2 linked regions of the Elephas maximus indicus genome follow. The main gene of each other region encodes a partner of the protein of the gene in region 2 in a complex. Links are inferred from orthologs where the notes say so. Each region holds a gene or a part of one and is shown on either strand. Other genes may lie near its edges. The genes, in order: NCAPH2 and SMC4.

What was found.
Region 1: the proteins of SMC4 (region 2) and NCAPH2 are in contact, whole or in part, in a cryo-EM structure (PDB 9F5W), measured with the Homo sapiens proteins. The link is inferred for Elephas maximus indicus from reciprocal best matches to the Homo sapiens genes SMC4 and NCAPH2. Residues at the interface, in NP_001002800.1 of Homo sapiens: Ile100, Leu101, Gly102, Pro103, Ile112, Gly113, Pro114, Ser117, Gln1151, Met1152, Leu1155, Phe1227, Lys1228, Ser1231, Ile1232, Phe1235, Tyr1236, Glu1239, Gln1240, Asn1253, Asn1254, Phe1256, Glu1257, Arg1261, Gly1264, Ile1265, Tyr1266, Lys1267, Thr1268, Tyr1269; in NP_689512.2 of Homo sapiens: Arg494, Ile495, Trp498, Glu499, Thr501, Val502, Leu505, Leu506, Gln509, Glu510, His512, Phe547, Cys550, Arg551, Met553, Leu554, Leu557, Gln558, Ala560, Asn561, Tyr563, Val565, Glu566, Ile567, Gln569, Leu573, Glu574, Ala576, Val577, Asp578.

The regions. Positions count from the first base shown.
Region 1 is NC_064822.1:196,868,570-196,883,430, reverse strand, and holds the start of NCAPH2 (condensin-2 complex subunit H2), read right to left. Parts: upstream 5,601-14,861; 5' UTR 5,461-5,600; coding exon 5,353-5,460; intron 1-5,352. Other genes in the region: LMF2 (lipase maturation factor 2), read left to right, coding at 5,950-6,043, 6,539-6,792, 6,890-6,918, 7,039-7,256, 7,333-7,511, 7,928-8,069, 8,157-8,291, 8,374-8,479 and 6 more. UniProt on the Homo sapiens protein: Regulatory subunit of the condensin-2 complex, a complex that seems to provide chromosomes with an additional level of organization and rigidity and in establishing mitotic chromosome architecture.
Region 2 is NC_064841.1:318,653-333,423, forward strand, and holds the start of SMC4 (structural maintenance of chromosomes protein 4), read right to left. Parts: upstream 7,603-14,771; 5' UTR 7,197-7,602; intron 5,793-7,196; 5' UTR 5,788-5,792; coding exon 5,652-5,787; intron 5,222-5,651; coding exon 5,043-5,221; intron 4,529-5,042; coding exon 4,337-4,528; intron 2,889-4,336; coding exon 2,712-2,888; intron 1-2,711. UniProt on the Homo sapiens protein: Central component of the condensin complex, a complex required for conversion of interphase chromatin into mitotic-like condense chromosomes.

The sequences.
Region 1 (14,861 bases), on a different chromosome or scaffold from region 2:
ACTCCCCCAAGTCAGAGCCCCACCCTAACAGTCCCAGCACACAGACCCCCCACCCTAAGAAAAGAGAAACCCCGGGGGTAGGGAACACAGACGTAGAACAACAGGGTCTCCATCCTTGGAGCAGAGAACCCAGGAGACACTTCTGGTAGGTTATCTTCCTTCCCCTTCCACCACGCCGGCCTTCTCTAAGCCCTTGTTCCCCTGCTCACCCAGAAACATTAGCGCCCAGGGCTTGCCTTGGCCCTCCTCTCTTCATGACTCATCTGCTCACCTGTGAATCCACCACCCATCTACCAGACTGCCAGGCTTGCACTCATGATTCTCAGACCTCACCTCCAGGACCCTCTCCTGCTGCTTACTGGATGGCTCCACCAAGATGTGTTCCTGACCCTCCATCTCCAGGCCTGACTCACTGTCCCCCCAAGCTGGCCCTCCACTGTGCACCTCTCTGTGATGGACACTCTGAAGGCTCCCTGGTATTTCCTCAAGCCTTTCTGCCCTTGCTTTGCCATAGGGCACCTTCCCCCAGCTATCCCCCAGACACAGGTACCCCCAACTCTGCTCTAATGTGAAAGATTCTGCAGCCCCCCCCCCCACTTGCTCCCGCAGACGCAGACCCAGCTCTGGGCACCCTTGCACGGCTCCATCACCAGGGTAGGCTCACGCACTGGAGCCGTCCCCTGCCTCTTGTCCCCTCACTGGGCTGGGAGCTGCTTTAAATTCCAGCCCCAGGTTTGGAGCCTGACACTGGTATCAATAAATATCTGATGAACATGTCAAGTAGTGATGTCAGAGCTCAGCCTAAAAAATGGACATTTGCCAAACAAACGAAGGGAGACAGCCCGGCAGGAAGAGTGGCCACCATGCAAGGGCAGTGAGCCAAGAAGGGTACAGCTGCTTAGGAGAACAAATACTATTCAAACACAGCATCACAAAGAAGGGGGAAAGCCTGGGAAGATGCCACCAAAGGGAAGATGCTTCTACTGACTCTTGAGGGGAGAGAGGAGTGTGTAGGGTCAGGGGGAAGGAGGACAGAGGAGCGCCATTGTGGGGGAAGCACAGCATCAGGACACGGGGAAGGGCCCGCAGGGTGGCAGGCTGGAGCACCTACACCACCTGTCTACGCTTCCGATGGCTCCCAAATACAGCTCCAGTTTGGACTTCCCTTCTGCGCTAAACCCACAAGTCCAGCGCCCACTTCAGATGTCCATCGGATGTCTTAATGGGAATTCATACTAAACAAGTCCACGCTGAAGTCCAGATAACCTCTGACACAAACCACCTGCCCAGAAACCCTGGAGTCTAACTCCTTCTCACCTCCTGATCCCACCTGTCCCAGTTCCTTGTCAATGCCCTGCTGTGCCTGTACCCTGACCATGTCACTCTGCTCTGGGTGACAGCCCTGCTCTTGCCCAGCCAGCTCCACTCTGGCCTGGACCACAGAATCCAACAGGGCTCTCCTACCCTCTCTTCCCTTGCCTATGCTCAGCACTCTAGCCAGCACTTGTCCTAAAGTGGACCACAACGTGCCCTCAGAACCCTAATGGAAAACCCCAAATTCTAAACAGAGCCATGTGACCACGCAGGCCTGCTTAGAACCTTCCCACACCTGTCCCTCTGCCTGGAATCTTCTTCAGCTCACTTAACTAGGCAGCTGGTTTCATCATAAAAGAGAGAGATCCCCAGTCAAACTCTTCATGGAACCTCAAACGTTTCTTTCAGAACTCAGGTAGCCTGTGACTATACGAAGGTGCTGTGCAGTGGCTGGGAACACAGACTCTGCTCTGCCCCTTGCCAGTCGTGACTGGGCATGGCTAACTTTCCCATGCCTCGTCTTCCTCATCTGTGAGAAGGGGAAGAACCACCTACACCAGTAGGGGTTTCGTGAGGATTAAATGAGCTCATATGCACAGAGCACAAAAAGCACTAACTACAACACCGTGTGGCTACTTCTTTAAGACTCATCTTCCCCACCGACTGGGGGTCCTATTAAAGCAGGAGCTGTTGTCTGGTCTGCTTCCCACTATTCCCTAGGGTCTAACACAGCTAGACACTGAACAACGCCACACTACAGCGGATCAGTTTTACATGGCCTTTCTCATCCATGGTCTTGTAACTCCCACCAAATGGCTGAATGGGGCTGTGCAAATAAGGTGCTTGTGTCCCACCAAGAGGACTGGATAGCTTGATAATAATGCAATAATAGGGCATGGCACCCTTGGCAGGGGGTATGGGACCATGCAAAGAAGGTGTATGGAACCCTAATGAGGGAGTTGGCCAGTTTTGCCATCCCGCTAGGCTTAAAATGAGCCATCCCATAAGCAGAAAGAGGGGACCTGACTACCACCAAGAATGACAGGATGGGAGCACATCCTTTGGACCTGGAGTCCCTCTGCTGAGAACCCCCTAGACCCAAGACAGAGAGAGAGAGAGCTGTAACACCAGAGATGGTGCAAGACAGTGAGAGGCAGCAGCAGAGAAACGGCCGCAGCAGTAGCAGGAGACCAGCAAGAGACGGTGTGGTGGGCTTCCTGGCCCACAGAGCAAGGCGGTTACAGCGGGTGTGCCGACCCATGGAGCAAGAGAGCTGAGCGCCTTCACACAGAAACGTTCCTGATGGAGTGGGATGCCCCAGGCACTTATTGGCGGAGCTAGGCTTGCTGACCCACGGAGTGAGAGAGCGGAACACCTTCAGGGTGAAGCTTGCTGGCGGAGTAGGGTGCCCCCCGGTACTTATTGGCAGAGCTATGAGGGCTTTGTAACACTTGCCTGAGCAGGGCAGAGGCTAAGGCAAGGGTCCGAGAGGCCAAGGACCAAAGAGAGGCCTGCCAGTGGGTACAGGTGAGAAGAGGTTGTCCTGATCTTGAAGAGCTGTATCTTGAGTCATTCCTGACCCTGAATTGAAACCTGTTACTTCCCTAATAAACCCTAATAATGGTCTCTGAGTTCTGCGTGACCCTTGCAGCGAATCATCAAACCCAGCAGAGAAGTAGAGAGTGCCGCAAGGAGAGAGGTGGCATGTCTGACCTCCACCTCGTAACAATCAGCCTCGGGGCACTGAGGCTGATAATGATTCACCTCCTGCCTTATGAAGCTGGTGGTTACAGGCACCGAATAAATAAATGGATGAAACAGGACAGCAACATGGCATGTCAAAAAAGAACGTTCTGTTAACTATGTGGAAGGTAAAAAGAAGGGAAAAGGCAAAACTAGAGGCTGGAGATCATGACATCAGGGCCAGAGGTTTGTGAGCACAGAAACAGGCAGGAGGGCAGCAGGAGGAAGCAGATTTACCAGGTGTCACCAAGGCCTTGCTCAGTGTGGAAACCTGAATCCACAGTAACTCCACCTGGCACAGTTCTCCACATTTTCTCAGCAGGCTGAATGTCAGGGCAGAGAAGATCACTCACCAGATCAGTGTTCACACAACAAATATTTATTCCACTCCTACTGTGAGCCAGGCATTCAATAAGGCAGAGAGAAGAGGGCAAAGACGTGGCCCCTGCCCTCACAGAACTTACACACTAGGATAGATACAGACCACAAACAAGTAAATAAGTTAAAGAGCAGATCACAAAAAGTACTCTAAAATGCATAAGGTACATGCATAAGGTACCCTGGGAGACTGAACTTTATTAGATAGTTGTCAGCTGGCACTGAAGCTGAAATCTAAAGATGAGAAAAAATTAGTCATACAAAGAACTGGGGAAAGATTGTTCCTTAGTTAGAGCAGAACATATGAAGGCCCTCAGGCAGGAAGAAGCTAGAAGGTGTCAGGTTGACTGACATGAAAGAGTAAGGCAGAGAATGGCCTAAGATGAGGCTAGAAAGGTAGCAGGGCCAGACCCAGAGGGGCCTGGAAGCCACAGGGAGGAATTTGGGTTATATTCCAAGTGCAGCGGAAAGCAGGGATGGGCTTTAAGCAGCAAGGTGATGTAGCTGGATTTTATTTTCTAAGAGCCACACTTGCTGCTGGATGGAACATGGATTGCGGGGGGTCAAAGGCAGAGGTAAGGAGCTGCTGGGAAGATTTCACATGATTCAGAGATGCTGGTGGCCTGGACCAGTGAAAATGGAGAGCAGGTGAATTCAAGCAATACTCTGGTGGTATAGGAGACAGAATCCATGGATAAACGGGGTGCACTGCATGGGGTTTCACCTGAACAGCTCTTACCTTTCACTTTCAGTAGCTGGTTGAACAGTGGTGCCATTTACTGAAATCAATGACTGAGGTTTGAGCAGAAAAATGAAGAATTGCACTTTAAATACCTTAAATATTTATGTGACAAATCAGCGGAATGTCATATGAGCAGCTAGAAACACAAAAATAGATTCAGAAGAAAGATCTGGGTGGAGATATAAATTTCGGAGTTAAAATGATGCAGATGTTTTTTAAAATCGTGGAAATAAATGAGATTGTTTAAGGGCGGAAGTGCCAAAATATGGCTGGCCCTTGCCCTGAGGAGCGATTAGACAGGAGAAAAAAGGAGCCAGTGGCATAAGAAGGAAATCAGAATGCCCTGTCAAGGAACCCAAAAAAAGACACCCTTTCAAGTAAAAGGGAGCCATCAACTCCAACAAAGGCTGCCGCTGGAGTAAGCTAACACTTTTAGCGTCCCTTGGATTTGGTACAATGAAAGTCGTTGTTGATCAAGAAAAGAGCAGTTTAAGTGTAGGGGAAGCCAGGCTGGGCGGGCTGAGGAGAGGGAGGTGCAAAAGTGGAGCCGGCGGCTCCTTAGTGGAGGTGGCACTGCTAACTGAAAGGTCGGTCATTCTAACCCACCAGCCTCTCCGCAGGAGACGTGGCAGTCTGCTTCCGTAAAGATTAAAAAAAAAAAAGATTACAGCCTTGGAAACCCTATGGGGCAGCTCTACTCTGTCCTATAGGGTCGCTATGGATCCGAATTGACTTGATGTTAAAGGGTAGGCACGGCTGTCAAACACGGAAGAACGATTAATGCTGGCAGGATGAACATGGCAGTGGCTGAAAAGCGGTCTGGAAACCCACTGCAAGAAACCCTTTTGCACAGTGATCCAAGTTTCTCTCTCACATACACATACACAAATATGCACACAATAACTAAAACAAAATGAACTTTAATAGTTTCTAGTCTGCTCTATTTCATCTGAGAAAACTGCTTGTCACAACTCACGAAATCGACTTCACGGCTCACCAAAGAGCAGCGACCTGCAATTACGACTCCTGGCGAACCTCACGAGGAGGTGACTTCGGGAGGCAATGATGCGGTTGGGAAAAGGAAGCAGTAAGGAGCCTGGGGACGAGCGAAGCCGGGGCGCCGGAGGGCCGCCGACCTGGAGGCTCACGCCGCGCCACTCCCCCGCCGCCCTTACCTCCTCCAGATACTCGCCCAGCTGGGCCGCCACGTCCACCTCCCAGTTCTTGGTGAGGTCCCGGATGGGCTGCAGGAGATGGGCAAAGCGCGCCTCTACGTCCTCCATGTCCGGGAGGGGCCGGGCGCGCGGCAAGAGCGGGCCGGGACAGCAGGATCTGCTTCCGAAGGGGACCGACCAGTGCCCTCAGCCCGCCACCAGTTCTGGCGCCATTTTGCTGTTCCCGCCCAGGAGAATACGTCGCACGCGTCGCCGCGCGCAGACCTATGACGTCACTCGAGGCAAGGCGGGGGAGGGAGGAAAGCCGCGGCGCGCGCTGGAGGTGGGGCAGGCGTCGAGGCGGGGCGGGGCGGAGCCAGCAAAGGGACGGGGCTTGCAGTTTCCCTCCGCGTGCTGGGGCGGGGCGGAGCCTGGAGGCTCGGGGCGGGGCCCGGTGGGCGGGACGGGGCCTGCCGGGCGGGGCGGGGCCTGCCGGGCGGGGCGGGGCCTGCCGGGCGGGGCGGGGCCTGCCGGGCGGGGCGGGGCCTGCCGGGCGGGGCGGGGCCTGGCGGCCTAGCGGCCTTGGCTGGCTCGTCTCCAGCCGGCCGCGTAGCGGACATGGCGGCCTCCAGGCTCCCGCGGCAGCTCTTCCTCCAGGGCGTGGCCGCCGTCTTCATGTTCGCCTTTGCTTCCCTCTACAAGCAGATCCCGGGTGAGGGTGCCGAGGGCGGGACACCCCCCGATCCGCGCTCGGGGCCTCGCGTCCGCTCCTCGCCTGGCCTGACCCTCTGCTGTCTGGGGGCGGGGGACAGGAGTGAGGTTCGGGCCTTAGTGCGTGGGGTGGGGGCGGCGGTCCGTATCCTGCGGGCCGCGGGGATGCTGGGGGCGGACGTGAGAGCAATGGTCTGCTTTCCACGTGGTTCCGGGCTCTGATTTGAGGCGGGGGGGGGGGGGCAGAACTGACGTGGGCGGGAGAAGCCTCTGCCCAGACGTGGTAGGGCAGGTAGAAGGGGAGGGCTCTGACCAGGAGGGGAGGGGAGCTGGGCTCTGCAGGGTGGGACTTCCCGACCTAGGGTGTCAGGTAGGCGCTCTGGGTCCTGGGGGGTGGGATCTGCAGGTTTGAGTGGAGGGTTCTGCAGACCCTGACCTGGGGTGGGGGACCTAGCCTGCAAAGACGGTGCCCCGGCCCTGATGTGCCCTCTCACAGGCCTATATGGTGCTGAGGGCATCCTGCCGGCTCGGAGGATGCTGCGGCCACAGGGCAAGGGGCGCTGGCAGCAGCTGTGGGAGATGCCGACGCTCCTGTGGGAGGTGCCAAGGCTGGGGCTGGACACTGCCCAGGGCCTGGAGCTGCTGAGCCTGCTGGGCACGCTGCTGGCTGTGGGCGCTGTGCTGCTCCGCCCACTGCGCCACCGCCTCACCTACCTGCTGCTCTGGGCTGCCTATCTGTCGGCCTGCCAGGCAAGTGGGGCCACCCTCTGTTCCCCGCCCCCACATCTCTGCCCTGCCCGGTGCCCAGACACACCCCTTTGCCCCCTGACAGCCCCTCTCCCTGCAGGTGGGCCAGGTGTTCCTCTATTTCCAGTGGTGAGTGGCTCCGGGCTCGGGCTGCAGGAGGGCTGGGCAAGTGTGTCTCACTCTGCAGGAGGCCCCTTTGAGGGCAGCGACTGGTGAGGGGGGCCCTTTGTACTCTTTTCTCTCCAATAGGGATTCCCTGCTTCTGGAGACTGGCTTCCTGGCTGTGCTGGTGGCCCCGCTGAGGCAGCCCCCGGTTCGCAAGCAGGACTCCCAGGGCAGGCTGACGGGAGCTGCGCCCCACGAAGACCTCCCCTTCTGGCTAGTGCGCTGGCTGCTGTTCCGGCTCATGTTCGCTTCGGGTGTGGTCAAGCTGACCAGCCGCTGCCCCGCATGGTGGGGGCTCACCGGTGAGGATCCTGGCCTGGAACCGGGGTGATCTGGGAGCTCCAGCTGGCCCTGATTGTCTGCCCCCCCACCCTGCAGCCCTCACATACCACTACGAGACACAGTGCCTGCCCACACCCGCTGCCTGGTTCGCCCACCACCTGCCTGTCTGGCTGCACAGGCTCAGCGTGGCAGCTACCTTCCTCATCGAGATTGCAGTGCCACCTCTGTTCTTCTCCCCACTCCGCCGCCTGCGCTTGGCAGCCTTCTACTCCCAGGTGGGTGGGGCTCAGCTTTGGAGACCCAAGCAGGGCTCAGCTCTGCTCAGCACTTCCAGGCAGGAAGCAGCAATGGCAAAGAATAGGGGTGTGGAGGGGTAGGCCCGCAGTGGGAGGATTACAGCCATGTTGAGGATATCGGTGTCTAGGTCAGCAGGAGCCAGGTGGGGAAGGACCACTTGCCATGTGCTGAGATCACGAGAACTGTGGAAGAGTCAAGCACTGGCTGAGGGCAGATGAGGTGGAAACGAGCTGGGGGATGGTGAGGGGTGTGCTCCCAAGCCACAACAGGGAGGGCTGTCTGCAGTGGAGACCAAGACAGATGTGGTCAGGGTGCTTGTGGTGGGGCCAGGCGCAGCAGGCTTTGAAGGGCTCCAGGGATGGCTTTCAGAAACTCTGAGTGCAGACCCCCCTAGGTCCTGCTGCAAGTCTTGATCATCATCACAGGCAACTACAACTTCTTCAACCTGCTCACCCTGGTGCTCTGCACTGCCTTGCTGGATGACAAGCATCTAGGTGTTGAGCGGGACCGCAGCCGCCGCAAAAAGATGCCTGCCTGTAAGTTCCCCCCTGTGGCCCCGGCTCTAGCTCCCCCATGGCCCGCCCACCCCCATCCCCAGTCAACCATGACTGTCCTCCCCATAGCCTGGCCCAGGGCCCTTCTGACCATGCTGGCCCTGCTGCTGGAGCTGGCTGTCTACGGGCTGCTGGCCTATGGCACTGCTCACTACTTCAGCCTGGAAGTGGACTGGGAACAACGTACCATCCACTCTAGAACCAGTGAGCACTGGCTGGGAGGGAGGGTGGGCTGCTCCCCTCACACCCGTCCTCACACCTGCCCCCAACTCCCCCTTCCCCACAGACTTCACTTTTCACCAGTTCTCCCAGTGGCTGAAGACAGTGACCCTGCCCACCATGTGGCTTGGTGGGGCCTCCCTTGCCTGGGAGCTGCTGGCTGCACTCTGGAGGTACATGGGCCAGAGTCAGGGAGGTAGAGGTGACAGCGGTATGCCCATAGGCCTGACCACCCTTAGTTCCCCCCAGGTGGACACAGGTGCGCGGGTGGCTGTGGAAGCTCTGGTCTGCGGTCCAGCTGTCCGTCTTTGGCACGGCCACAGTGGCCTTATTCACTGTCAGCCTGGTGGGTAGCTAGGGGAGGAGGGCGTGGGGAAGCTGGGGTGCACTGCGGGTGCTCAGAGCCGCACTGAGTCTCTGTTCATCTGTCTTCAGGTACCCTACTCCTACATGGAGCCGGGCACCCATGGGCGCCTCTGGACCGGGGCCCATCGCCTCTTTGGCGCCGTGGAGCACCTACAGCTGGCCAACTCCTATGGCCTCTTCCGCCAGATGACCGGTCTGGGTGGGCGGCCCGAGGTAGTACTGGAGGGCAGCTACGATGGAAACCACTGGACAGTAAGCCCCTGCAGGTGGGCCTCACGGTGGGTGGCCGAGTGGGCGTGGACCCAGCTGGCCACTGACTGTGGCACCATCTGGCAGGAAATTGAGTTTATGTACAAGCCTGGGAACATGAGCCGGCCTCCGCCCATCGTGGCACCTCACCAGCCACGCCTCGACTGGCAGATGTGGTTTGCGGCACTGGGGCCACACACACACAGCCCCTGGTTCACTGGCCTGGTCCTCCGACTGCTGCAGGGCCAGGAGCCTGGTGAGGGGGGGCCGGGCCAGGGTGAGGGAAGGTTGGAGGGAGGGGTGGGATGGGATGGAGAGGGGGTGGTGCTAGATGGGGGTGATGTGCAGGTGGGGCCGGCATGGAAAGAGCGCAGGGATGTGAAGGAGGACAGCCAGTCGGCCAGTCACTGGTGGGGATATGGGGCGGCCAAGGCTGAGCCAGGCTCTCCATCCCACAGTGATCCGCCTGATACAGGATGATCTCACCAGGTACCCCTTCCACAAACAGCCGCCCACCTACATTCGCGCCCAGCGCTACAAGTATTGGTTCTCACAGCCTGGGGAACAGGGGTAGGTTGGTGCACGAGGCGGGTGGGGGGGCCTGGGTCTAGACACGCACTGACCGCCAGACCTGCTGCAGCCGGTGGTGGCGCCGCCAGTGGGTAGAGCAGTTCTTCCCGCCCGTGGCGCTGGGGGACCCCACGCTGGACACACTCCTCACACAGTTTGGGCTTCAGGTAGGAGGTGTCAGTTGGCTGGGGGGGCTCAGGTGACTGCCCTCCGTGGACCACCCTCACTGTGTTCCCCCCCATGACAGGATAGGAGCCCACCGCGACCCCGCAGCACCAGCAGCTCCCTGCCCCAGGCCCTGCACTGGGTGCGGACCCAGCTATCTTCCGTGGGGGCCCCCGCCCTGCTCTGGGGCCTCCTTGTGGCCATAGGGGCCATCAGGGTGGTCCAGGGCCTGCTATCTGCCCACTCCCCACCCACCAGCAGGGAGGAGAAACACAGGACAGCCTCCAAGAAGGAGCCAGGAGCTGCCAGTGAACAGGCCAACCCCACCCCTGACAGCTGCAGCAGCGGGGCACGGACCCCCCGGCGAAAGAAGTAGCTGTGCTTCGTTGAGATGGGTGTCCCCAAGGGGGCAGGGAGGGTCCCCCAGCAGCGCAGGCCTCCCCTCAGCAGCACACGGCTAGCCACGAGTGCCTTAACCAACACTGCTGTGGCAGACGCAGATTGGCGTGCTGCCCCCCACCCATGAGGCTCTCCTGGGTGACCCTGGCTCCCTGTGGCTTCAAGGATCACTTGTCACCCCCATGCCTCCCATATATTCCTTGGTCTCAGCAATGAGCCCAGGGGGCGGCCCATGGCCCAGCAGCCCCATCACAGCCCTTCCCTGGACAAACCTTGCAGCTGGCAGGCAGGAGCCCCTTCTCCTCTGGTCCTCTCATGAGGGTCTGGGTCTGGAGTCCCCAAGAGGCAAGGAATGAGGCTGACTTGCTGAAAAAAGAGGCGGAATAGGTATTTGGATCTGTAAACCAATAAAGGTGTCTTTTGTGCCAAACCATGTGTCTAGTGGTCAAAGTAGCCCCTTCCCTGCTATGGAGTGGCCAGCCAGAGCTCTGTCCAGCTGGGCAGTGGCCTCAAGTCAGGTAGCTCTGCATCCCAGCCTAGCATTCTCCGCACAGACTGATGGATGCCCTCAGGCCTCCCAGCTCCATCCTGCAGGGCGCAGAGCCAGGCGGTGGGATGTGGGGCCAGACTCGTCCAAGGGAACACAAGGGCTGGGGGACCTGCCAAAGCCCAGCCCTTTTCTTCCACTCCAGCAAAGCCACGGCACTGGACCGACTTAGGCAAGGCATAAAGGGAGGTTGGGGGCAGCCACCATGGGGCATGTGGTCCAGGTGGATGGGGGGGCCCAAGGAAGGTGCCCACCCTGGATGCTCCGGCGGATGGGGGGAGGGAGCAGGAAGGTGGATGGAAAGAGAGAATATGTCTAGCAACCTCTGCCCTCCAGTTTGGAGACCTAGGCAGGCAGAGGCACTGATTCCTGGGAAGAGGATGCGGGGAGCCTGGGGTGGGGGCTAGGTCCAGACTTCTGCTGGGTCCTGAGGTCTGTGGCTCTCGCCGGGGGTCACCCCTCTGTGGGAAACTCACAGCCCAGCTGCCCTGCTCCTACTCTGTCCTCGGCTCCCAGGCCCCCTGCTTTCCCTCACAGACCCCTGGAGTGTCCCGTATGCCCAGCTTCTCCTACCCCACTCCCTGCTCCCTCCAATGGACCCTGTGCCCCCACAAGGCATGGTTTCAGGGGGCCTGAGCCTAGAGCTTTTGGATGCCTTCAGGGGTTCTCGTTGGCTGCCTTAGACTTGACGCCCAACTAAGGGCAATCCCATGCACAAGGGAACAAAAGGCTGCCTGGTCCCGTGCCATCTGTATGATTGGGCTCTTGAACACTGAAAATACGACCTACAGGTCTGGCTTTACTTTAAAACAGTTGTTGTGTGCCATCAGGTAATTCTGACTCATAGCAACCCCAACACGTCTGTGAGTTTGTCCCACTGCAGGGGCTTGTGTGTTGCTGTGATGCTGGAAGCTATGCCACCAGTACTCAAATACCAGCAGGGTTACCTACGGAGGACAGGTTTTAGCAGAGCTTCCAGACTAAGAGACTAGGAAGAAGGACCTGGCAAACCACTTCTGAAAAGAATTAGTTAAAACCTTATGAATAGCAGTGAACATTTTCTGATACTGTGCCGGAAGATGAGCCCCCCAGGTTAGAAGGCACTCAAAAGACTACTGGGGAAGAGCTGCCTCCTCAAAGTAGAGTCGACCTTAATGACATGGATGGAGTAAAGCTTTGGGACCTTCATTTACTGACGTGGCATGACTCAAAATGAGAAGAAACAGCTCCAGACATCCATTAATAATCAGAATGTGGAATGTAAAAAGTATGAATCTAGGAAAATTGGAAATTCTGAACAATGAAATGGAAAGCATAAAGACCTGTATCCTCGGCCTTAGTGAGCTGAAATGGACCGGTATTGGTCATTTTCAACTGGACAATCATATGGAAACCCTGGTGGCGTAGTGGTTAAGTGCTACGGCTGCTAACCAAGAGGTTGGCAGTTCGAATCCACCAGGCACTCCTGGGAAACTCTATGGTGCAGTTTTATTCTGAAAAAAAAAAAAAAAAAAATTTTTTTTTTTTATGGGGTCGCTATGAGTTTTATGAGTAGGAATCGACTCAACAGCAGCGGTTTAGTGGGTTATGGTCTCCTATGCCAGGAATGACAACTAGAAGAGGAATGGTGTTGCAGTCATCATCAAAAAGAACATTTCAAGATCTATCCTGAAGTACAACACTGTCAGCGGTAGGATAATATCCACACGGCTACAAGGAAGACCAGTTAAAATGACTATTATTAAAATTTACGCACCAACCACTAAGGCCAAAGATGAAGAAATTGAAGATTTTTATCAACTTCTGCAGTCTGAAACTGATCAAACATGCAATCAGGATACCTTGATAATTACTGGAGATTGGAATGTGAAAGCTGGAAGCAAAGAAGGATGAGTAGTTGGAAAATATGGCCTTGGTGAGAGAAACAATGCCGGAGATCACATGATTGAATTTTGCAAGACCAATGACTTCTTCATCGCAAGTAACTTTTTCTACCAACATAAACAGCAACTAAACACATGGACTTCACCAGATGGACTACACGCTAATCAAATCAACTATATCCGTGGAAAGAGATAATGACGAAGCTCAATATCATCAGGCAGAACAAGGCCAGGGGCCGACTGCGGGTCAGACCATCAGTCACTCATATGCAAGTTCAAGTTGAAACTGGAGAAAATTAGAATAAGTCCATGAGACCCAAAGCACAGCCTTGAGTATAAACACCTGAATTTAGAGACCATCTCAAGAACAGATTTGATGCGTTGAACACTAATGACCGAACACCAAACGAATTGTGGAACGACATCAAGGACATCATACATGAAGAAAGGAAGAGGTCATTAAAAAGACAGGAGACAAAGAAAGACCTAAATGGATGTCAGAAGAGACTCTGAAACTTATTCTTGAACCTTGAGTAGCTAAAGCAAAAGAAAAATGATGAAGTAAAAGAGCTGAACAGAAGATTTCAAAAGGCAGCTCTAGAAGACAAAGCAAAGTATTATAATGACATGTGCAAAGACCGGAGGTAGAAAACCAAAAGGGAAGAACACACTCAGCATTTCTCAAGCTGAAAGAACTAAAGAAAAATTCAAGCCTCAAGTTGCAATAGTGAAGGATTCTATGGGGAAAATATTAAATGACACAGGAAGCATCAAAAGAAGATGGAAAGAGGAGGTGGAGCCAAGATGGCGGAATAGACAGACTCTTCCCTCGAGCCCTCTTTACAACAAAGACCTGAAAAAACAAGTGAAATGAGTATATTTGTGACAAGCTGAGAGCCCTGAGCATCAAAGGCAAGCTTAGACAACGAACTGAGGGGCAGGGGGAGGGAGAGGCCGTTCAGAAGTGGAGAGGAGTTACCGGACCTGAATTGCGGGGAGCCCTCAGGCACCATTCCCGGGGCAGCGGTGGCAGGCTGGTACTAGCATGTGGCTGAAGTTTCCTCAGGGAGAAGCAGCAGCCACACAGCCCACTCATACCTCCCGAACCTGAGGAGAAGGGCGCTCTAGGCAAAAGCTAAGTACTTGTGGATATTTTACCGCACCACACCCCCACCCCCAAGCCGGCTTCAGCGGCTGAATCCCTAGGCCTGAGATAGACCCTGGTGAGCACCTAGAGTCGTCTGTCCGGCCTTGGGGAAGGAAAAAGTTTGCAACTTGGGGGGGGAAAGATAATTTGCTAGCTCCATTAACCAGGGAAGCTCAGGACAGAAGCAGCTCCTGTCCAGGCATAAACCATCTGTGGACCTTGAGCACCTTTCCCTTCTGCATGGACCTGTGTGGGCCTATTTCAGGAGAATAAGCCCTTGTTGGCAAACTCCAACCATTTCAGCTGTGCAGTGGGGAGGTGGGTGTTTGACGTTTGACATTGCTTTGCCTATTAAACAAGGTCCTCACCTACCCACAATAGGGACCTAAGGACTGGTAGCTCCACTCAGATCACCCAGCCAGGGGTCAAAAGATAACTGGTACCTCCCAGTCCTTACTTTGGGTGCCCATGGCCCCTGTGCAGAACCCACCGACCAGCACGCTGTAGGGAACAGAGATGCGTTTTCCTCAGAGACACTTGGGGGTCGGTTCTCAGCCCCCTGCCTTGTTCAGAGCGTGACCCCCTGCTGCAATCAGATACTGGTATACACGCCAATCACCCCTGCCCCTCTAAGACTGTAGGACACAGCCTGTACCACACACTTGATATCAGCTACCTAGAAACCTGAGCTGAATTCATACAAGAAAACTGAATGGACTCCTAGACTGATATACCTGGTAAAAGCTCTAGCCAGCTGGGGACAGGACGCCAGAGCTCCAAAGGTGAAAATAATCAAGACAGCTCACTCAAGCAACCCATAGGGGTATACCAAAACAAAACAAAGCAAGCAGCTACAACACAGTAAACAAGCATAAACTAATACGATAACTTATAGATGGCTTGGAGACAACAGTCAATATCAAGTCACATAAAGAAACAGGCCATGATCACCTCAACAGGCTCTCAAAACAAAGAATCCAGGGATCTTCTAGATGAAAGTGCATTCCTGGAACTACCAGATGCAGAATACAAAATTTTATATACAGAACCCTTCAAGACATCAGGAAGGAAATGAGACAATATGCAGAACAAGCCAAGAACACACAGATAAAGCAACAGAAGAAATTAGAAAGATTATTCAGGAACATAATGAAAAGTTTAATAAGCTGGAAAAATCCATAGACAGCAATCAGAAATTCAGAAGATTAACAATAAAATTACAGAATTAG
Region 2 (14,771 bases):
CCTTAGCATAGTGTTTAACTAGGTGCTCATCCGAAAGGTCAAACGATGAAACTTTAAATGAATTCAAATCCTAGATATGCTTGCTTGAAAAACTTACTAAACCGAATATATGTTGTCGTCATTGCCACGTGCTGTCAACTCATTGTGACCCTATAGGACAGAGTAGAACTCCCCAAAGGGTTTCCAAGGAGCAGCTGGTGGATCTGAAGTGCCAATCTTTTGCTTAGCAGCCGAGCTCTTAACTGCTACGCCACCAGGGCTCCAAACCAATATATAGACGTTGTAAGAAATGAAATAATAAAACCCTTGGGAACTTCTAAAATTCAGTGCTTTTAACTTAAAATAAATTTTTACTTTTACTAAATTTACTTAGACTGTTAATCACTACCATGGGCCAAAGAGTTTATATACTTTATTCAATCGCTTACGTCTTGGATGGTGATTTAGGGTGCTGTCTCCAAGTTCCTAGGCCTCCCAAACCAAGACTAATTTTTAAGATAAATTTTATTCAGCAGGAGAGAAGGTAATAAAACCCACATACTTACCTTTAAATGATTTAAATCTCTAGTATAGCAGTCTAAGGTTATTATGATAAAAAATTTAATAAAAACCTAACACAAATCACCACTTTCTCTCAAACTTCTTACAGGGCACCATTAGTTCTCCCTAGCTCAATCCCTGTGTCTTCTTCCTACCAGGTGAGTTCCTAAGGTTCTTATCTGTAAATTTAACAGAACTGAATCTCATCTGTTAACTTGAAAAGTTTACCTCAGCACTATTTTGGGAGAAATGTTCAATACGATTTGTTAAGATCACACACACAAACAAAAGTACAGGTAATTACGAAGATAAATGATTTACACATTCCAGGTACTTCAGAAGCATATATTTAATATAAAGTGGAAAATTTAGAACTTATTTACTTCATTGGTAAGTTATTAGCTTCCTTTATTACTGAACCACATACAGGGAAGCTACAGTCAGGGAAAAAAATTATCCTTACAAAGGTTAAAATGCAGTCTACTCTAGTTTGATCAGTCTTTGCAAAGGTATAAAACTTTGAGTCATTATCCCAGAATGAAAGTAAAGAAAAAGCAGAGAATAGAAGATAAGCACTAAGCATGGTTTTCTACAACATGACAAGTTTCATCATCAAATTTAGTGCTATAAAAGAATATAACTTTTGATCTATAATTAACCAAATCAAGTCCCAGAATATAAAAGTTCAGCCATTTTCCAACATTTATTTTTAAATAAGTTTGGGTCATAGAGATACTACTAATGTACTGTGCCTGATAACGAGATATTTATACAGATTATTCCAAAATGATATTAATTTACCTTATATACTACATATACCTAAAAGTATTTTCTTTTTTTAGGTAATTGAAGAATAAAAATTTAAATGGAAGTAGAGACTACTATTTTTTAAGTATGTTACTGGGAACACTCAGTTACCCTAACAAAGCTTTTGACGTCAAATCAAAATTTTCAACTTATTTTAATATCAGTAGCACAAGACACTAAAGAATATTAACAGCAATTTATGTATCACAAACTAGTTTTGCTTTTATTATTATGTTCTTGCTGATTCTAAATAGGACCCAGAAAAAGATAGTTTCAAATAAAAAAGGGATTTTAAAATGTCTGATAAAGCCAAAGTTTTTTTTTTTTTTTTTTTGAAAAGTAAGGCACAAGAAACAAAAGATAAGGAATTTTCTTACCAAGCAATACCGGTAAAAATAAAAAACACAGAATCTCTAATAACAAAAACCGACTTAACACCTGGTACTTGATTTTTATACTCCTTTAAAAAAAAAACTTTTGTTCTTTAAGAGTTGTGATACTTAAAGAATGAGACATCAAAGTTACTTTCTCATTTACTAATAGCATTGGTTCAAGAAAGTAGGCCATTCTAAACAAAACAAAGCATCTATTTGAATAAACTTCTAATTTACCAGTGTAAGTATTAAAAAGATTAAATTAGGTGCTCAGGTAAATTTACCGAGCACAAAGTGTAGAGATTTCGATTTTCTTTTTTTTTTTGCCATATAATATTAGTAGACATAATAAGAACAAATATAAAGAAAACAGTACACTATTAAAAGACAGTGAATTCCACTTAAAATGTTACCTTCAAGGAGCTAAGGGAGCAGGGAAGCTAGAGGACTAAAAATGGAACAATCAGAACACAATTAATGAGAATGCTAACACAAGGTGAAAACCTTAATATCACAATCAATTTTTGTAGAAACTGTCAAAAGGGAACCTAACTTGCATTGTAAACTTTCACCCGAAACACAAATATATATATATAAAAACTTATCTTCAAGGCAAATAAAAACAAATGGTAAATAGATGCTGTATCCCTGTCACACTAAAGCAGCACAATAATATTGGGGTCTAATATTTACTTCACTACGCCAATATTTACGTGCTGCTAGAGTGGAACAAGCATGTCAGTCCATCCAAACATTGTAGTAGTATCTGATGATGAAAACCGTGTTTTGAATGAATTTCCTTAAATTTCTAGAGCAGCAAATAATGATTCGCATCTTGACTGTAGTATGTAAACCATGATGTGCTGCTACAGTACTTTAAGGCCTCGAAAATACAGGATTGATCCAACAGGGGAAAACCCCTACCTTTACTGAAAACAAAACAACACAACACAAGACCAAGAGAACCTATGAAATCTTTAATAAACTTACCTGTAAGATTAAAAATCTATTATGGTCCAAGTCAATTCCATGGCTTCGAAGAAGATTTCCAACATCCTTAAATGTCTTTTTCTTCCCACTTATGTGGTAAACAGAAGTATTATCTCTGTAGGCTGTTCTGGACACATAGAAGTTACTGTTAGGAATGACTTCATAATCATCTCCTTCCTGTTGTGAGAAAAAACAAACCCAAAAAAACAATCGCTGGTATTAAATAGGCATAGTCTACTTCAAATTTCACATTGGAACTAATTCTATGAATTAAAAACTTCATTGAACGTGCACACAACAAACTGGCAGTAATCCTCAGAAATAATCTTGCTTAGCAAGACGACATACTTCTCCAAGTTGTTTGGTTCCTGACTCACAGATCACAAAAAAAATACCAATCGACAACAGCAAAAACACTCAACCTCCAAACAAACCTAAAAACATACTGGCTGAGAAAACAGAGTTGATGAAGGGGGCCAAGAATTCTACCATGTTCAAAACAAACCCATTCAAATTATTAAATAATATTGACAGATTAAATTACTAGTTCATTAAAAAAAGCTACAGCAATAGACCATTCAAGGAAAAAGGAAGGTAGGCAGTGATACAGTGACACGGCAACGTTTTCTGGGGGTAAAGAGCACCTTTAATTGAAAGTAAAAAGAAAGTTGCAAATAATTGACAACTACATGCCCTGATTTTTTTTTTTTTTAACCAAACAGATTTTTAAAAAATCAAGGGCAAATCTCCTTTAATCTTAGAATTTGCTTTCCCTTACCCTTAAAAATAAAAGGGCTGTCACATTAACATTACGGCTTTTAAAAAATGCAGTCAAATCAAATATGATTTACTATGTATTCCTCAACCCAAAATGTACAATAGAAAACATTAAGAAAATTAAAAGATACTTCCATGTAGATTTAAAACCTGTTACATATATTGAAAGAAAAAGGTCCATTATGTAATTAGTTCCCCGTATTTTTATGTTCCACTGACATTTTTAAAGCATGAGTTTCCAAAGTTAACTATTTAAGCAAAATAAAACAAGAAACCAACAAAACAGTGCAAATAATCTAAATAGGTATTTTACTTATAATTGTCTCCACTTCTAGAAAGCAAACAGTAGTTTGATGACCTTTCCCGTTTAAAAAGGACTTAATCACAATAGTTCAAACTGAAGCAAAGCTCTCTCGTATTACAAACATACAGGACCACTAACAACGTTCACTTTCACATAAACATTAAGGATAGCAAAGTTAGTCAGTTGTAACATTTTCAACCATAGGTAATTTTTAAAAAGCAATTACATGGTAGGTTTTAAAATGATCCCAAAGTTTATAGTAAAACAATGTCTATTTGGCATGCAGGATACTAAAACTGCTCAACATTTTCTTTCAAAAAAGTAAAGATTAATACGAATTATTTATAATTCATTTCTCTAAAAATTTTAATATTTTAAATAGCCACTACACTCTCCAAAAAGCGAACGCAGCCAGAGGTAACGGAATCAATAATTGTTCTGCTTTAACTATATTCAAAATTTAAAAAGCCAATTTAAACCAAAAATACTGTGTAATATTTGTGTTCCCTAAATTTCAAAGAATCAAGTAGTGAAAATCCCTTACCTTATCAATTATCTTTTGGAAATGAACTTCTACAGTACAACTCTGAATATCCTTGTGCTCATCAGAATTATGTATTAGTACAGAGAGTTTTTTAGACCTAATTTTTTGTGCTCGATAGCCAAACACAAAAAGCATAGAGTCAATAACATTGGATTTGCCACTGCCATTTGGCCCAATAATACACGAAAAGCGCTGCATAAAAAGAACAGAAAAAAATTAAAGTTAAAGATGTCATACTAATACTACTGATTCTGAACTACTAATTTTTTTATCTGAAGTAAAACTACACACGTTTACAAGCTTTCATTGCTTGAAGACACCCAACTTCAACTTTTAAGTTTTTTTTTAAAGTGTTTTCCTCTCTCACAAGCTTTCACACCTAGAGACCATATTCTAACTGTAACCCACTTTTTTTTTTTTTTACGAAATTCATTTTTGTAGTTAAGGAAAACACTCCTTTCAAACAAAAAACTAATCAATTCTTCTTAGTGAAGAAACTTTATATGGAATGAGGTATTAAAGATATCCAGATAAACAAAAGCTAGTTTCAGATATTGAAGCATGAGAAACACTCGATATTTATCTATGCACATACACGATAAACACATCACTCAGCGTGGCTCAGAATAAACAGTTAAAAACACTGGAAAGATCATGTAAGAACTGATACCTCCGCTAACAGCAGTTACATAAGAGGGGCACATACCTTGTGAAAAGGTCCCAGAATTTTCTCCCCGGCGTAGGATTTGAAGTTCTGGTTCACGATGTGCGTTATCATCAGCCTGGGAGCGCCGGCTTCATTGGTCATCGCCGGAGGCGGCGGCGGAGGGACGCTGCCCAGGATTTCTTCTAAACTTCGGCTGTCGAGGTCCTCCCCGGGCGCTTCTAGGTCGGCGGAGGCAAGGCAGGGGGCCTCCCTTAGCGCAGGGAGCCGACCTCGGGGCGCGGCACCCCGCCTTTCCACCTGAGCCCAGGGAGGCTCCCCGCGCGCCTCAGCCCCGGACTCCGGGCCGCGCGCCTCCTTCCTTCTGCCACAGGTGCCTCAGGCCACGCGGCCGCGCCGAGGGCCCGCGACGTGCCCGCGGGGTCACAGACCAGGCACCGGCGCCGCCCGCGAACGGCCACCGGCCCTCGGCCGGCCGTGCCGACTTCCGCCGCGCCAGGGACGGGCGTCCGCGCCGCCACCAACCGGCTCCCACGCCGAGCTACGCGCTCGCCCCGTCCCCGCCGCGCCGGAGCGGCTTTCCCGGCCGTCGACGGCCCGGCCCCGACCCCCGACCCCCGACGCCCGCCCGTCCCGGGGCCCCGCACTCACCCGCGGCGGAGGAGCTCGGGCTCTCGGCGCGGCCGGACGGCGGCTCGGGCTCGGCGTCGGGGCTGGCGTCGGCCGGGGACCGCGGCGGCTCCTCTCCGCGCCGGGCGGTGGAGGGCTGGGCGCCTTTGCGGGGCATGGTGGCTGGGCGGGGAGAGCCCGAGCCAGTCAGCCCGCGGCGGGGGCGGCCTCCTCCAGGCGGGCCGGCTCGGCCCCCCGCCCCGCTCCCACCGCCCCGGCCCTGAGCCCACACCCCGCCCGCCGCTCCCCGACCTCGTACCCCGCGCGCCGCTCCCCGACCTCGTACCCCCCGCCCGCCGCCCCCAGCCCTGACCCCATACCCCGCCCGCCGCTCCCCGACCTCGTACCCCCCGCTCCCCGACCCCATAGCCCGCCCGCCGCTCCCCGACCCCATAGCCCGCCCGCCGCTCCCCGACCCCATAGCCCGCCCGCCGCTCCCCGACCCCATAGCCCGCCCGCCGCTCCCCGACCCCATAGCCCGCCCGCCGCTCCCCGACCCCATACCCCGCCCGCCGCTGCCCGACCCCATAGCCCGCCCGCCGCTCCCCGACCCCATAGCCCGCCCGCCGCTCCCCGACCCCATACCCCGCCCGCCGCTGCCCGACCCCCGACCCCAGCCCCCCGCTCCCCGACCCCATACCCCGCCCGCCGCTCTCCGACCTCATACTCCCAGCCTGCCGCTGCCCGACCCCCGACCCCCGCTCCCCGACCTCATACCCCCAGCCCGCCGCTCCCCGACCCCCAACTCCGTCGGGGAAGAAGCCACAATAAAACCGAAGGGCAGGAAGGCGGGATGGTTTTCTCAGGAAGACCTGGGCAGGTGGGGAAGCCCAGACGTGCCCGGGAACCAGCCAGTTAACCCTCCAGGTTTTTCGGGACCCTCGGCCCCGGGGCGCCCCCAGTGTAGCCGCACAAACTAACTCGCCGACGACCCGACCCCACACGCAGCCGACGCCGACGGACGTGCCCGCTCTCCGGCGTAGGCAGCAGCGCGCCTCGGCCCCGAGCGGCCGCCGGCCCTCCCAGGCCACCCAGGAGGGAGCCCCTCGCCGCCGCGGGCCGCTCGGGGGCTTCGCCGTCTCCCCTCCCCGCGCGACCCCGAAAGGGCGGCCGAGGGCTGGGTCGGCGGCGGCGATTCCCTCCTCAGGACGGCCCGCGGCCGAGCGCCGTTAGACGGAAGTCAGCCGGGAAGGGTCGCCAGCGAAGGCTCAGAGGCGGCCGCCAGTCCCTCGGGGGCGCCCGGAGGGCCGGGCTCGGGCCGGGGGCACGGCTTTCCCCGCAGAAGCGGCCGGCCAGGCGGCAGCCCGCCCAGGGGACGCCCGCGGAGCTGAGCGCCGCGCTCGGGAGAAGCGCGCGGGGCCCGGACCGCGGGAGCGGCCGGGGGGGGAGGGGTGACAGCGGGGAAGCCGCTCGGCGGAGCCTCGGGACCGGCTCCGCGGTCCGGCTCCCGGCCTCTGCTCTCCGGGCGCCCCGGGCCGCTCGGCAGCCAAGGATCCGACCACCCGGCCGGGAAAGGAAGTACTTTACCTGCGGGCCAGTCCAAGGTTGGAGACGGTTGCGGAGCCCACCGCGCTCCTGCCGGTGTCTCGGCTCCGGGTGCTTCACTCGAAAATGGCGCCTAAAATACAAACTCGAACGGAAATTCGTTACAAACGCGCGCAATGCTTTCTGGGATCCACTAATTTGAAAAAAAGTGCGGCGATTACCGCCGCCATCTTCTGGTCATTCTTGCGCAAGCGCAAACTCCGGGCGGACCCCGGGCGGTAGGGGACGTTCGTCCTAAGTGAAAACGGAGGAGAAGGGAATGTTTACCCAGCGGCCAGTAGCAGCAGCACTATTATAAACACCACATTTAAAAAACGTGGCGGTTTTTGAAAAAGAGAAAAAAAAAATAGAGTCGGGTTCCGCCCACAGCTGAAGGCGAGGCTCAACGTCCAACGACGCCCCCTGAGGAGCGGGCGGGCGCGCTGCGGGGCGGGGCCTCGGCTCGGCTCCGTGACGCGCCGTGCGGTGCGGGGGGAAGTATCGCGGGAAGGCGGGGAGCGTTGCTGGGAGACGTCACTATGGTGACTGCCCAGGCTCTGTGAGGCCAGTCTCCTCCGCTTCACTGGGACCTGAGGTAAATCTCGTCAGCTCCGGACGCGGCCAGGAAAGGGCTCCTCGTTGTAGCCAGCACCTTTCCTGCTTTGAGGGTGCGTGTGGCACGGAGCACCTGTTACAGTCTGTCTCCCTGGGGTACAGGGGCTTTGGGCGTAGCTTTTGGGGTACCGAGGAGCCCAGAGTTTGGGGGGCGGGGGGCGCCAGGAGAAGAGGAGAGCCTGGATTAGTGGTTGCTCGTGTACGCCATGTGGGAATAGCAAGGTAATGACTGTCGAGTTATTGGGGTTAGGTCATTAATGTTATTAGTGAAAGGGAGTTTCGGGCTTTTCAAATTATTTGACAAAAGGGCTCCGCAACGGAAGAAGCAATTTGCTAGTGTCATTTGGTTATTTTTATCGATCGGCAAACATTAAGGGGCTACTGTATACATGGCACCGTGCAAGACAAAATCAGGATTGTCAAGCAAGTAGGAGAATTCCTGTCCCCAGAGAACTGAGTTTTCTTTTGGGGTTTTTAACCGGGGTCTTTGTATCCAGTGGTAGGCGATTTGGCTTCGGAACAATTCATAACCCCTTTGTCATGTTATACAAAATTCTGTGTGTTTGTACGTTTTTCTGGGGGGTTAGTTTTCCCAGTACTTTCTTCGCATTCTCAAACGTGCCTCTAGGCCCCCTCGGTGTTAAACAAACAAAACCACTGGTTAATTTGACGACCTCCAGTAAGGATTTACCCAGGACTCTTATGTACTCGACATTGAGGACTGGGAGTCTTTTTTTTTTTTTTTTAACCTTTTGCATACTTAGGGCCTACCTTAGAGCCTCGTTTATTAAAAGCAATAAATCTGGTTTATGAATGAATTTACATTGTCACTCTAAACATGTAATGGCTCCTGCCCTGAAGGAGCACACAGTCAGGTTCAGGGGTGAGGAGGACACGTTCTCCAAGTGTAATAATTTGCTGGGGTTGGGAGGCTGGTGTGGTTTGAATAAACAATAACTAGTTATTATAATATGCATTTATGTTTGCAGTTGAAAAAATAATCATCGTTTTCATAACACAAACTGCAGAAAATGAAGCTCATTGAGAAAGTTTTTGGCTGGTATTCATACCAAGAAGATCTAGTGGTTCTCTTTGATGGCTCTAGAGTCTTGTGGATTTTTGAATGTTGTAAAATTGATGCAAACAGTTAATGTACTTGGCTGCTAACCAAGCACTTGGGAAGAAAGGCCTGGAAATCTGCTTCTGAAAAATGAGCCGTTGAAAGCCCTATGGGGCACAGTTCTACTCTGACACACATGGGTTGTGAGTAACATAGCACAATGAGTATGAGTAACATAGCACAATGTAGTAGAAAAATATGATATAGATAAATGTTAGAACCCCAAATCTCATCACTTTTAGGTACATACTTTGACAATTTACTCAATTTATCAATCTCTCAGTATTTATATATAAAACCAGTGTTTAACACCTATCCCATAGGAATGCTTATGAGAAAATTTCTAGCACACATCCTATAAGCATTTGATGTTGCTATGTTTATGACGTTGACTTTGTTAGGATATGTACATGAAAAATGGGATGTCAAGTTGGAGAAGGAGTAGCTTATGGAAGGTCTTGAAAACCAGGCCAAGGATGTTAGATGTGATATGGAAGAAAATAGAGCTATTAGAAAAGTTTTGAGCCAAGGAGCAACTTGGTGAAAATAGGAAGAATAATTAACAGTAGTACGTGGATGTGCTAATGGAAAGAAACTGAAATCAGTCATGACTTTAGTTAGATCATTGCTGTACAGTTCTCCATGTGAGAGGTGAGAATTGCCAACATAGCAGAATGGAGAAACATCCGGAATCATTTTGGGGGAAAAATCTATATAGTTTATATAGGTTTTGATGGATGAGTATGAATTTAAAATCAGTCAGATACTGTTCTTTGTATGTGAATCCCTGAATTAATGACTAAGAGGTAGGAATAAAAATAAATCTTAAAAATGAATCCTAGTTTTAGTGCCCTTGATGATTGCTGTCAATATGGTAGGACTTAGTGACTGATGAGAAAATAACGTAGTTTCAACAAATCAATAAGCTGACCCACGGTCTTAGGTTTACTTGAATCTAACTACGCCCCATGAAGAACAAATATTTTCAAAGCAGGCTTAAATCAGGCTACATAATGAAGTAAACACATTTGTAACAAGCAGCTACAGGGTAGACTTTAATTTGGATATTTATATGTGCTATGAGAATAAGACCCCCACGTGTCTGTCAGTTTGTCATATGTACTGTCAGGGCTTGTGTGTTGCTGTGATGCTGGAAGCTATGCCACTGGTATTCAGATACCAGCAGGGCCACCCATGGAGGACAGGTTTCAGCTGAGCTTCCAGACTAAGACAGACTAGGAGGAAGGACCCGGCAGTGTACTGAAAAACATTAGCTAGTGAAAACCTTACGAATAGCAGCAGAACATTGTCTGATATAGTGTTGGAAGATGAGCCCCCCAGGTTGGAAGGCACTCAAAAGATGACTGGGGAAGAGCTGCCTCCTCAAAGTAGAGTCGACCTTAATGACGTGGATGGCGTAAAGCTTTCAGGACCTTCATTTGCTGATGTGGCACGACTCAAAATGAGAAGAAACGGCTGCAAACATCCATTAATAATCGGAATCTGGAATGTACAAAAGTATGAATCTAGGAAAATTGGAAATCGTCAAAACTGAAATGGAATGCATAAACATCGATATCCTAGGCATTAATGAGCTGAAATGGACTGGTATTGGCCATTTTGAATCGGACATATAGTCTACTATGCTGGGAATGACAACTCGAAGAGGAATGGTGCTGCATTCATCATTGAAAAGAACGTTTCAAGATCTATCCTGAAGTACAACGCTGTCAGTGATAGGATAATATCCATACACCTACAAGGAAGACCAGTTAATAAGACTATTATTCAAATTTACACACCAACCACTAGGGCCAAAGATGAAAAAATAGAAAATTTTTATCAGCTGCTGATCAAACATGCAATCAAGATGCATTGATAATTACTGGCAATTGGAATGAGAAAGTTGGAAACAAAGAAGAAGGATCAGTAGTTGGAAAATATGGCCCTGGTGGTAGAAACAATGTCGGAGATTGAATGATAGAATTTTGCAAGACCAACGACTTCTTCATTGCAAATACCTTCTTTCATCAGCATAAATGGCGACTATACACATGGACCTCGCCAGATGGAACAACCAGAAATCAAATTGACTACATCTGTGGAAAGAGACGATGGAAAAGCTCAATATCAGTCAGAACAAGGCCAGGGGCCGACTGTGGAACAGACCATTAATTGCTCATATGTAAGTTCAAGCCAAAACTGAAGAAAATCAGAGCATGTCCAGGAGAGCCAAAATATGACCTTGAGTATATCCCACCTGAATTTAGAGACCATCTGAAGAATAGATTTGACGCATTGAACACTAGTGACCGCAGACCAGACGAGTTGTGGGATGACATCAAGGACATCATCCATGAAGAAAGCAAGAGGTCACTGAAAAGACAGGAAAGAAAGAAAAGACCAAGATGGGTGTCAGAGGAGACTCTGAAACTTGCTATTGAGCGTCGAGCAGCTAAAGCAAAAGGAAGATTGATGAAGTAAAAGAACTGAACAGAACATTTCAAAGGGCCTCTCGAGAAGACAAAGTAAAGTATTATAATGTCACGTGCAAAGAGCTGGAGATGGAAAAACAAAAGGGAAGAACACGCTCAGTGTTTCTCAAGCTGAAAGAAGTGAAGAAAAAATTCAAGCCTCGAGTTGCAATAGTGAAGGATTCCATGGGGAAAATATTAAACGACGCAGGAAGCATCAAAAGAAGATGGAAGGAATACAAAGAGTCATTATACCAAAAAGGAATTAGTCGATATTCAACCATTTCAAGAGGTGGCATGTAATCCGGAACTGATGGTACTGAAGGAAGAAGTCCAAGCTGCGCTGAAGGCATTGGCGAAAAACAAGGCTCCAGGAATTGATGGAATATCAATTGAGGTGTTTCAACAAACAGATGCAACCCTGGAGGTGCACACTCGTCTATGCCAAGAAATATGGAAGACAGCTTCCTGGCCAACTGACTAGAAGAGATCCATATTTATGCGTATTCCCAAGAAAGGTGATCCAACTGAATGTGGAAATTATAGAACAATATCATTAATATCACACACAAGCAAAATTTTGCTGAAGATCATTCAAAAACGGCTGCAGCAGTGTATCGACTGGGAACTGCCAGAAATTCAGGCTGGTTTCAGAAGAGGACGTGGAACCAGGGATATCATTGCTGATATCAGATAGATCCTGGCTGAAAGCAGAGAATACCAGAGGATGTTTACCTGTGTTTTATTGACTATACAAAGGCATTCGACTGTGTGGATCATAACAAACTATGGATAACACTGCGAAGAGTGGGAATTTCAGAACACTTAATTGTGCTCATGAGGAACCTTTACCTAGATCAAGAGGCAGTTGTTCGGACAGAACAAGGGGATACTGATTGGTTTAGAGTCAAGAAAGGTGTGTGTCAGGGTTGTGTTCTTTCACCATACCTATTTAATCTGTATGCTGAACAAATAATACGAGAAGCTGGACTATATGAAGAAGAACGGGGCATCAGGATTGGAGGAAGACTCGTTAAGCTGCGTTATGCAGATGACACAACCTTTCTTGCTGAAGGTGAAGAGGACTTGAGGCACTTACTAATGAAGATCAAAGACAGCCTTCAGTATGGATTGTATCTCAACGTAAAGAAAACAAAAATCCTCACAACTGGACCAACGAGCAACATCATGATAAACGGTGAAAAGATTGAAGTTGTCAAGGATTTCATTTTACTTGGATCCGCAATCAACAGCCATGGAAGCAGCAGTCAAGAAATCAAAAGACACATTGCATTGGGTAAATCTGCTGCAAAGGACCTCTTCAAAGTGTTGAAGAGCAAAGATGTCACCTTGAAGACTAAGGTGCGCCTGACCCAAGCCACCGTGGTATTTTCAAGAGCATCATATGCATGTGAAAGCTGGACAATGAATAAGGAAGACCGAAGAAGAGTTGACGCCTTTGAATTGTGGTGTTGGCGAAGAATACTGAATGATACCATGGACTGTCAAAAGAAGGAACAAATTTGTCTTGGAAGAAGTGCGGCCAGAATGCTCCTTAGAGGCAAGGATGGTGAGACTGCGTCTTACATACTTTGGACATGTTGTCAGGAGGGATCAGTCCCTGGAGAAGGACATCATGCTTGGCAGAGTACAGGGTCAGCGGAAAAGAGGAAGACCCTCAGCAAGGTGGATTGACACAGAGGCTGCAACAATGAGCTCAAGCATAACAGCGATTGTAAGGATGGCGCAGGACCAGGCAGTGTTTCATTCTGTTGTGCATAGGGTCGCTATGAGTCGGAACCGACTCGACGGCACCTAACAACAACAACATGAGAATAAGACACTCAGATTGAGTGTGATTTTTGAGAAAAGCTTTAGGTAACAAGAAATAAAGACTTGGTTGATGGTTGCCAATACTTTGCATTTCTTGGGAAATTAAGAGTCTAATTATAAAAAGAAGCTGGTCGAACTATAACGGGGGGTTACAATCATTTTGTAAAACATAACCAAATCTCATCTTCCTGGTCCAGAACCATCTACCAACAATCCTTAGTGTAGTTTCAGGCGGTCTGAGAGGATAACCCCAAAGAGAAAAATTAGAATTAAAATCCACATTTGCAGTTCTTTAAGTGAACCGTTAAGTTTTGTGATCATTGTAGTATGTGTTTTGTCTGCCCTCTAAAAGTGTGTACAGCACTTAAGAAAGTCCGAACTTGGATTTGTGAGTAAATGTTTAAAAATATTAACCAATTAAGTTTGTAATAACTAATAAAATGAATAAAGATGAATTGTGTAAGTAATATATATTTACAGAACACTGCTTGACTAATATATCCTATATATTAATCAAATGTATTAATAAAGTTAGGTATATACAAAATACAGATAGTAATGAGTATTCCTCTTGATAATATAAGCCCACTAGTACATTAATCTTAATCTTACTGAAACTCTCACCTGATTTATCACAGAAAAATCAGGAAACGGGGAAGTGGAACAGTTTTTTTGCAGGGGGGAATAATTTTGAAAGATGAGTTTTTGTTCTTGTAGGTTGGGATTATGGGGTGACAGTCAAGAAGATGTATCCAACGGGCGGTAGAGGTAGAGAATATAGCTCAAGAGAGAAAATAAGATGAGATAGTGTTACAAAAAAAGATAGGAAGGAACACTAACCATAGATTGGGTGTTTTTAGGTTGTGAGACGGGAATAGCAACTGACTGGGGATATTGAGGAAAAGTCTATTGTTAGAATCTAGGAAGAAGAAGTAATTACAGTAATGTTTCAGGTAGGACCGTCTAGGTTAAAGTGACAGGATATCCAATCCAAATTGTCTTGAGAAAAAAAATTATTGGCTCCAATAACTAAAAAGCTAGGTGAGTGTAACTGGATTTAGGGACTCAAACAAAGACACCAGGATTTGGTTTCTTTTCTTTACTCTGCATTCCACTGTCTTGGCATTTTTCTCAGGCACCACTCAGTGGTCTCTGGCACCTCCAGGCTCTCCTGTGCTATGGTAAGATAGCTACAGTAACTTGAGCCTCAAATTCTCTAAAGTTAAAGACCAGTGGGTAAAGAGAGCTTTTTTTCCCCTTCATTCATTTGAATAAAAGTACTGGGCCACCTGTGAAACAGCCACTGTGTGGACGGAATGGAATGCTCTAATTGGCTTAAGGCTGGGTGTCATGCTGGCTCTGCTCAAGCCTAGAGTAAGGAAGGTGTCCTGAAAAGAAATTCTTTGCCGGTGGGAAAAGAGCGAATATATGTGGGATGATAAAAACAACAGTTTCACTACAAATAGTTAGCAATCATTGAGTGCTCACTTTCACTACAGAGCCCTGGTGGTGCAGTGGTTAAGCACTAACGCTGCT